Macaca fascicularis: one gene and its partner. The protein of the gene in region 2 purifies or fractionates together with the protein of the main gene of each other region. This does not show direct contact. Links are inferred from orthologs where the notes say so. Each region holds a gene or a part of one and is shown on either strand. Other genes may lie near its edges.

Region 1 (4,254 bases), on a different chromosome or scaffold from region 2:
AAAAGCTGAAACAAATAATTTTTAATTTTTTTAAGAGACAAGGTTTCACTGTGTCACCCAGGCTGGAATGTAGTGGCATGATCACAGCTCACTGTAGCCTCAACTTCCCAGGCTTAAGTAATCCTCCCACCTCAGCCCCCCATAGTAGCTGCGACTACAGGTACATGCAACCATGACCGGCTAATTTTTGCAATTTTGTATTCTTTGTAGAGACAGGGTTTTGTCATGTTGCCCAGGCTGGTCAACAACTCCTGGGCTCAAGCGATCTGCTCACCTTGGCCTTCCAAAGAGCAGGGATTTACAGGTGTGAGCCACCTTGTCCAGGCTAAGAATTTTTAAAAAACTGGTAAGAACTTAAAAAGAGTTATACTTCCTTGGTGTGACAATTGTATTGTGGTTATACAAGATAATGTCCCTGTTCTTCTGAACAGGAAGTAGAAAACATGTCTGCAATTCTCAAATGGCTCAGAAAAAAAAGAAAAACAGACAAACATGGCAAAATGTTAACTAATAAATCTTTGTGAAGGGTGTATGGGTAGTAATAACACTTACAACTTTTCTTTAGGTTTGAAATTTTTCTTTTTTTTTTTTGAGGCAGTCTCTGTCACCCAGGCTGGAGTGCAATGGCATGATCTCGGCTCACTACAACCTCCGCCTCTCGGGTTCAAGCAATTCTTCCGTCTCAGCCTCCCAAGTAGCTGAGATTACAGATGCCTGCCACCACACCCAGCTAATTTTTGTATTTTAGTAGAGATGAGGTTTCACCATGTTGGCCAGGCTGGTCTTGAACTCCTGTCCTCAGGTGATCTGCCCGCCTCCGCCTCCCAAAGTGCTGGAATTACAGGCGTGAGCCACCGCACCGGACCGTAGGTTTGAAATTTTTCAAAATGCAAAAACCAATACAGGACTGTCCCTCAAAAGGAGTTATAATATTGAACGAAGTGTCAACATACAGAAATGTCATGAATAAAAAAGGAATGCCTGGGAACTAGGAATGTATCTGTGCTCCATCTTCCATCACTTCAAAGAAACTGCTTTCCCCAAATATCAAAGATTTCCTTGTCAATACTCAATATACGCTCTTCATATTTTGTTTTGACTGCTCCTTCCTCCTTTCTCGAGTCTCTTCTTCTATGACCCACACAAAGGTGTGTCCCTAGGGTTCTACACTTGGTCCTCTTCTCTTCTGAGATAGTTAATCCATTTCCATGAGTATACACTAATACTTCAACGACTTCCAAACATCTATCTTTAATACCACTTTCCCAAGACACACACTCTTTTTTTTTTTTTTTTTTTTTGAGACAAGGTCTCACTCTGTCACTTAGGCTGGAGTGCAGGGGCACAATCACGGCTCACCGTGCCTCGACCTTCTGGACTCAGGTGATCCTCCCATCTCAGTTTCCTGAGTAGCTAGGACTACAGGCCGCCACCATGCCTGGCTAACTTTTGTATTTTTTGTAGAGACTGGGTTTCGCCATGTTACCCAGGCTAATCTCGAACTTCTGGGGCGATCCGCCTGCCTCAGCTTCCCAAAGTGCTGGGATTACAGGTGTGAGCCACCACGCCCGGCCCAACACACACTCGTATGTACAACTACTCCACACATGTCCTGACCAAACTCATTATCTGCCTCTCACCTCAATCTTGCTTTTCCTACCACCCATATGTCCTATCTCAGTGACTGGCCTGAAGCCTAAGCCTTGTTCAATGTCTAAATTTCCCTTTAAAGCAACAGTTCTTTACAGTTTTTGTGCTCTGGATTCTGTGGTAGGCAAAATTTTGGCCCCCACGACCTTCAGTTTCTGGTGTCATGCGTGTGAATATGTTATATTACACAGCAAAAGGGACTTCGCAAACCTAATTAAGGTTACCAGTGGACAGCAACATAGGGAGATTATCCCGGATTTTACAGGTGGTTCCAAAGTAATCACATGAGTTCTTAGAGAATTTTCTCTGGCTGTCGACAAGTGATGGAGCAAAAGGGGAAGCAACACATATCTGAAGGGCAGGAAAGATTAAATGTGTCATTACAGGCTTCAAAATAAAGAGAACTAAATGTCAAGGAAACAGGGACCTCGGTTCTACAACCACAATATTTAAGGTAGATCTATCTGACTGTGAAAATACCAAAGTGCTCCAGGTGGCCAAATAAAAGGGCAACTCCTTCCAGGACCCCAAAACGGGAGTCTGGTACCTCTGCATATGACCCCTGTCTGTGTCGAGTTAAGGATATTCCTCTCCTTACTATTCCTACAGAAAAAATCTATATTGTGTAACCAAACTTTCAAAGTCCTCCACACTCGGCTCTGAAACTACGTATCCTGCAGAGGGGAACATCTCCTGCATCTGTTCATCCGGAAAGACAGGCACACTTCAGACTCTTAAAACGAGACCGTGCGTTAAGGGCAACGCACGCGCCAGACCTCCAGTAAAAGGCGAGTTTAAAAAAACAAAACAAAAAAACAAAAGCACAATCCATGAGGGGAAATTCCGGCCCGAGAAAATAGAGAATGGAAGACTCGGGAAGAGTGCTAGAAAAATCGAGCCTTCCAGCCGGTACAGGTATCCCTGAGGCGTCCCGGACACGCGCCCCCGCTCCCAGCAGCCCTCCAGGCCGCCCCTTGCCCGGCTCCTTCGCACCGCCTGCTCCAGCAAGGAGGAGGGTGGCACGCAGGAGGCCGGCGCTGGGGACCGGGAACCCTACCTCTCAGCGATGTAAAGGGTACCAGTGCCGAGGCCCTTCCCGTTCAGCACAGCCTCGGTGTCTGGTTGTTGCCGCAGGAGCCCCTCCGCCGGCCCAGGCGGCGGGAAACTTTTGAGGAAGCTCATAGCAGCAGAAAGTGCGACAACACAGCCCCTGAGGGAGTTAGAACACAGCAATGCGTGCACCACACCGCTCGCCCTGGAAGAGGCACTCACCCCGGAAGAACAACTTAGTCTGCCCCGGAATCTGAACGCCGTCGACCATAGAGATGAGACATTCTAGGAAAAGCGTCGGAGGTCGGCTAAGACCGTGTGGAGTTTAACACCCCTCTCGTTCTTCCTCGCCATTTCTGAGGCTTTGGGCTTCAAGAACTGAGGGTTCTGTGGGAAGTCCCTCAAGATTGTCACAGTGAAATCACCATTGCAAAATTGTAACTGAGACACTGAAAGCAATCTGACCTACCCAAATCCATGTTGTTTCTAACCTCCAAGCTGTCCTTGTTCATTCCTCGTATAGGCTGAACTACCTTTGGGAGGAACTTAGTTTACAGTTTGAAGTTTTAAAACAAAGATGATGACAGCCTTTTTCCAAAACAAACTTCCTTCTTGCCTGGGGGCTGGACTGCCTTTGTAGGACTAACAAATCAGCCAAAGATTAGAAATTTTGTAATTTAGAAATTACAGCTGGAGGCCACAAGATTCTGACCCTCCCTAAACTGCACTTAAGATAGGTGCTTAAGATATGTTGCAGACCCTACACTTGATGGATCAGCTGGCACCACCAGATGCATAAACTGGCTATGTGATCTTGTGCCCCCTCCCCCGCAACCCAGGAACTGACTCAGGGCAAGAGGATAGCTTCAACTCCCTGTGATTTCATCCCCCACCCAACCAATCAACACTCTTCAGTCACTGGCCTTCCCCAACCTTCCAAATTATCCTTAAAAACTTTGATCCCTGGCCGGGCACGGTGGCTCACGCCTGTAATCCCAACACTTTGGGAGGCTGAGACGGGCGGATCACGAGGTCAGGAGATCCAGACCATTCTGGCTAACAAGGTGAAACCCCGTCTCTACTAAAAATACAAAAAATTAGCCGGGTGTGGTGGCAGGCGCCTGTAGTTCCAGCTACTCTCGGGAGGCTGAGGCAGGAGAATGGTGTGAACCCGGGAGGCGGAGCTTGCAGTGAGCCGAGATCGCGCTACTGCACTCCAGCCTGGGCAACAGAGCGAGACTGTCTCAAAAAAAAAAAAAAAGAAAGAAAAGAAAAGAAAAAAAGAAAACTTTGATCCCTGAATGCTCTGGAAAACTGATTTGAGTAAAAATAAAACTCTAGGCTGGGAGCAGTGGCTCATGCTTGTAATCCCAGCACTGTGGGAGGCCGAGGCTGGCAGATCACCAGGTCAGGAGATCGAGACCAGCCTGGCTAATACAGTGAAACCCCGTCTCTACTAAAAATACAAAAACAAAATTAGCCGGGCGTGGTGGCAGGCGCCTGTAGTCCCAGCTACGCGGAAGGTTGAAGCGGGAGAATGGGGTGAACCCGAGA
Region 2 (3,814 bases):
AAATCAGAAGAAGGTTATTGAAAGTCTTGATTTTAAGTTATCAGATTTACTTATGTTTGTTCCCCAAAACCTGAAACTTTCTAGAGTGTTGGTCTAAAATGAAATTTTTTGATCATGTGAAATGTGTAGACTTTGGGATTACCCACGAATACCTTCTGTTCTGAGTTTTTAAAGAATTCCACCTGTATATGATGGTCTAATGGGAGAAATGTAGCCATTTGTGGCAACATTGGCATGCAGCTTGAATACTTTTAACATTCATGAGCAACCCTAGTGCTAAAATTTTTGTTTTACAATTTTATATTGATACCCATAAGAAAATTAACTAATTGCAGTTTTCTTTTTGTCCTTTTGCACCTCTGTTTGCTGCTTTCTGTCTCTCTCTGTCTCTTTCACATCAGTCACCTGGGCTTGGCACTGACTCATGTCCCTTGTCACCCCCATCCGCCCATTGTGCCCCCACATCTCCCACAGAGCTCCGTAGGAGGTGTAAGGAGAATGACTGCAAACTGCCAGGTTACGAGCCATCCAGAGCTGAGCACACGCCCGGAGAGCCCGCCTTGGACTCTGATGGCCCAGGGAGGCCTTACCTAGGGGATCAAGATGTGGCTTTTAGCTACAGACAGCAAACTGGCAAGGGGACCACCCTGTTCTCCTTCTCCTTGCAGCTCCCCGAGTCATTCCCCTCCCTCCTAGATGACGATGGGTACCTCTCTTTCCCCAACCTTTCTGAAACCAACCTCCTGCCCCAGAGCTTGCAGCATTACCTCCCGATCCGCTCACCGTCCCTCGTGCCCTGTTTCCTCTTCATCTTTTTCTTTCTGCTGTCTGCCTCCTTCTCAGTGCCATACGCTCTCACTCTCTCCTTCCCTCTGGCTCTGTGCCTCTGCTACCTGGAGCCCAAGGCGGCCTCCTTGAGCGCCTCCCTAGACAATGACCCGAGTGACAGTTCAGAGGAAGAGGTGTGTACCTCGGCATAGAACACGCTTCCCCTTCGTGTTCCGTGCTTGAGTCCGAAACAGTGTTAGCCGGCTGCTGCCATAGTGGTCCTACTTTCAGAGCCTCATTTATTGTCTGTGCCAATATGTTGAGGTTTCTGTGTGTTGGGGAGTCCAACCTGGGCCCCAGGGTTAGGCACAACACCATGTGGATGTAGCAGTCTGAGCCCAACCCGGAATCGTTCTGCTACCCACTGAGTTCTACGTGGGATGAAAGACTCAGCCAGAAGTCAATTTTATGTAACCCATTAGCCATGTAAAAGATCAGGGCTAAGCTGAAAGTTCTGATCAGTTATTGTTTAGTAAGGTAAATCACATATAAGACCGATGATGAGTTGTTTCAACTCAAATGATAGTCAAGGAGAGGTGGAAGAACGCATCCCCAAAGGGGATGTATCATTGTCACCTGGGTAGCTTTCTAAAATTGCAAAGGTATCTCCTCCCTGAAGATCCTGAAATGTCCCCACCGCCCTCTGCTCATCATCGACGGACAGTCACTGTTACTCACAGAGAGGTCTGTCAGTCAGATCCCGCATTGTGTTGTGTCAGAGCAGTTGAAAGCACCCACATGACATCAGCCATTGGTAAGGGCAGAAACAGGCCCAGAAGCAACGGCATGCAGTGCAGCAGTGTTCAAACACAATCAGAAAAGGACTGAATTGACGTTTTCAAACAATGCAAAGACAGGCTGAAATTTCACCAGTGCTAGCCATGCCAATGCAGATAATACGGCAGCAATTCTTTCAACTGCAGTATGAGCCTCAAAATCCCCCCGTTTTCACAGTGTGGTAAGGCTGGGCCTCTGTGGCTGCCAGCCGGACATGGACATAGTGGGGGAAAGACCCTGAACTATCAGCCTCCGTCCTTGAAGGCATGCTGCTGCAGGGCAGGCTACTGTCCCCCACTGGAGCAATTGGGCAAGCTGACATGGTAGCCGGTAGTTTTTCCTGTTAATTGCTCTCCTTTCCCACCACCCCACAGCCCTTTGAACAGCCCAGCAGTTTCTCTTTCTCCAGGCTTCAAACAGAGTGCGGGGAAGAATAATAGAAGCTGCCACCAGAAGCCCCGGTTGCTCTCATGCACGCCCCTGCCCACACCTCTCCGCAGGCTCCCTGCAGCCCTCCTGTTCCCACAGAACAAGAGCTGTTGTGACAGGAGAAAAGGAAAATACCTTACCATTTTTTTCAAAAGTCACAAAGTCAAGGCAATGCTAAAAAAGGAAAGAAAGTCTGATTCTGTGCTCAGCTAGAAAGTCATAATTTGAGCCGCAGCACCTGTGAGTATGTAGTATTATATGTTGAGGGTGTGCGAGTATCTCTAGTTAGTGGAATTATGACCATTTCTTTGCAGCGGAAGGAAAAAAAATGTGAATGGTCTCACAGGTGTTTTAAGTAAAAGTCTACACTGAATAGATTTTGCATAAGAGACATTTTCAAGGTTCTTGAGTTATATATAACGATTTGCTCCAACTGATATATAAATAACTTTTTACACATGGAAAATATTTTGAGAACTACTTGAAATCCTAGGCTTTAATATCACTATTTCTCATATTGGTAATATTATCAAATAGTGTTGGACTAGAACATATTACAGTTAAGAACACAATATTGTCTACAAAGACAATTTTATTATTTATTAGCTGATTTCTAACATGGAGATATATTTTTCCTTTAACAGTGGAGTTAGTCATCAAGCTAACATAAGGCAAAAAGATTGCTGTTTTATGCTTTTCTAAATTCAAAATAAATGTTTGAACTTTTGTATAGCAAACCACACAGATCTTGTGCCTAATCCAGGGTATACATCTTGTTGTAATCAGTGCATGAGAATTAATGTTAAACTTGGGCATGTCTGCATTACATTGGCAAAACAAATCACAGCAGTTACTTGTTACAAGCTAGCGAACATGTGATTGGAGCTTCCCGGTCATAACTGTCCTTGTTACTGCAAACCTCCGAAACCATGAATTAGCACTGACCACTGGAGTCTTCATCACCCTTCTCCGCAGCCCTAGTCAGCCCATATGATAGCTCTCCTGCCATCAGACTCTGTAACTAGCCATCTGTTCAGTGTTGTCTCTTGAAGTGTTAAGAGCTGTGCATTCTAGTTCAGGCTGAGCTAGAGAACTCATATTGAGGTCATCCTGGATTGTTTTATTTAAATTGCCATTTGCTTACATGGCCTGATTTCATCTCTAGGCCTCAAGCACTGTGGCAGCTACACTGGGTGACTTCTTAACATACAATTCAGCCTTGTCACTTTCGTTTTGCCAAGTCACTAGCAATTAATTCTTTTTAAATATTGTATCATCATTGCTTACATTTTTAACATGTTATAGTGGCTTATTTCCAGCCTTTCTCAAGAGTGAAATCCAGTATAAAAAGGCTTCATCATTTCACATTATAAAGCTATTGACCAGTCATGAGTTTTCTTTTGTACTTTCAGAATGGTAAAATAAGAAGGGGCAGGATATCAAAATATCCTATCAAGAAACATGAGATGAACTTACCTCCCCAAACCATAAAATGCTATTACATGTGTATTTCTGAGTAATTTTTTGATAATACAAAGAAAAATAGAGATGAGTTCAAATCAAGAGGAAGAAAAATTGATTAACTGATTTATAACATTTTAAATTACATAAACATAGTATTATATAATAGTTTACGATATGCTATACATTTGCAGTTTTATGTAGGCATCATACATTATAGAAATACCAGTTGATATAAAAACTGCTTTGTTCAGCCTTATTCATTTATTTACTATTGATAGGCACTATACTACGGACTGACTAGATGCTAAGGCACTAT

What was found.
Region 1: the proteins of EPB41L3 (region 2) and CLNS1A purify together in Homo sapiens (affinity purification with mass spectrometry; 3 studies listed by BioGRID and IntAct, with this or other methods). This does not show direct contact. The link is inferred for Macaca fascicularis from reciprocal best matches to the Homo sapiens genes EPB41L3 and CLNS1A.

Annotation. Positions count from the first base shown.
Region 1 is NC_088388.1:76,533,211-76,537,464, forward strand, and holds the start of CLNS1A (methylosome subunit pICln), read right to left. Parts: upstream 2,926-4,254; 5' UTR 2,833-2,925; coding exon 2,708-2,832; intron 1-2,707. UniProt on the Homo sapiens protein: Involved in both the assembly of spliceosomal snRNPs and the methylation of Sm proteins.
Region 2 is NC_088392.1:73,900,530-73,904,343, reverse strand, and holds part of EPB41L3 (band 4.1-like protein 3), read left to right. Parts: intron 1-401; coding exon 402-962; intron 963-3,814. UniProt on the Homo sapiens protein: Tumor suppressor that inhibits cell proliferation and promotes apoptosis. Modulates the activity of protein arginine N-methyltransferases, including PRMT3 and PRMT5.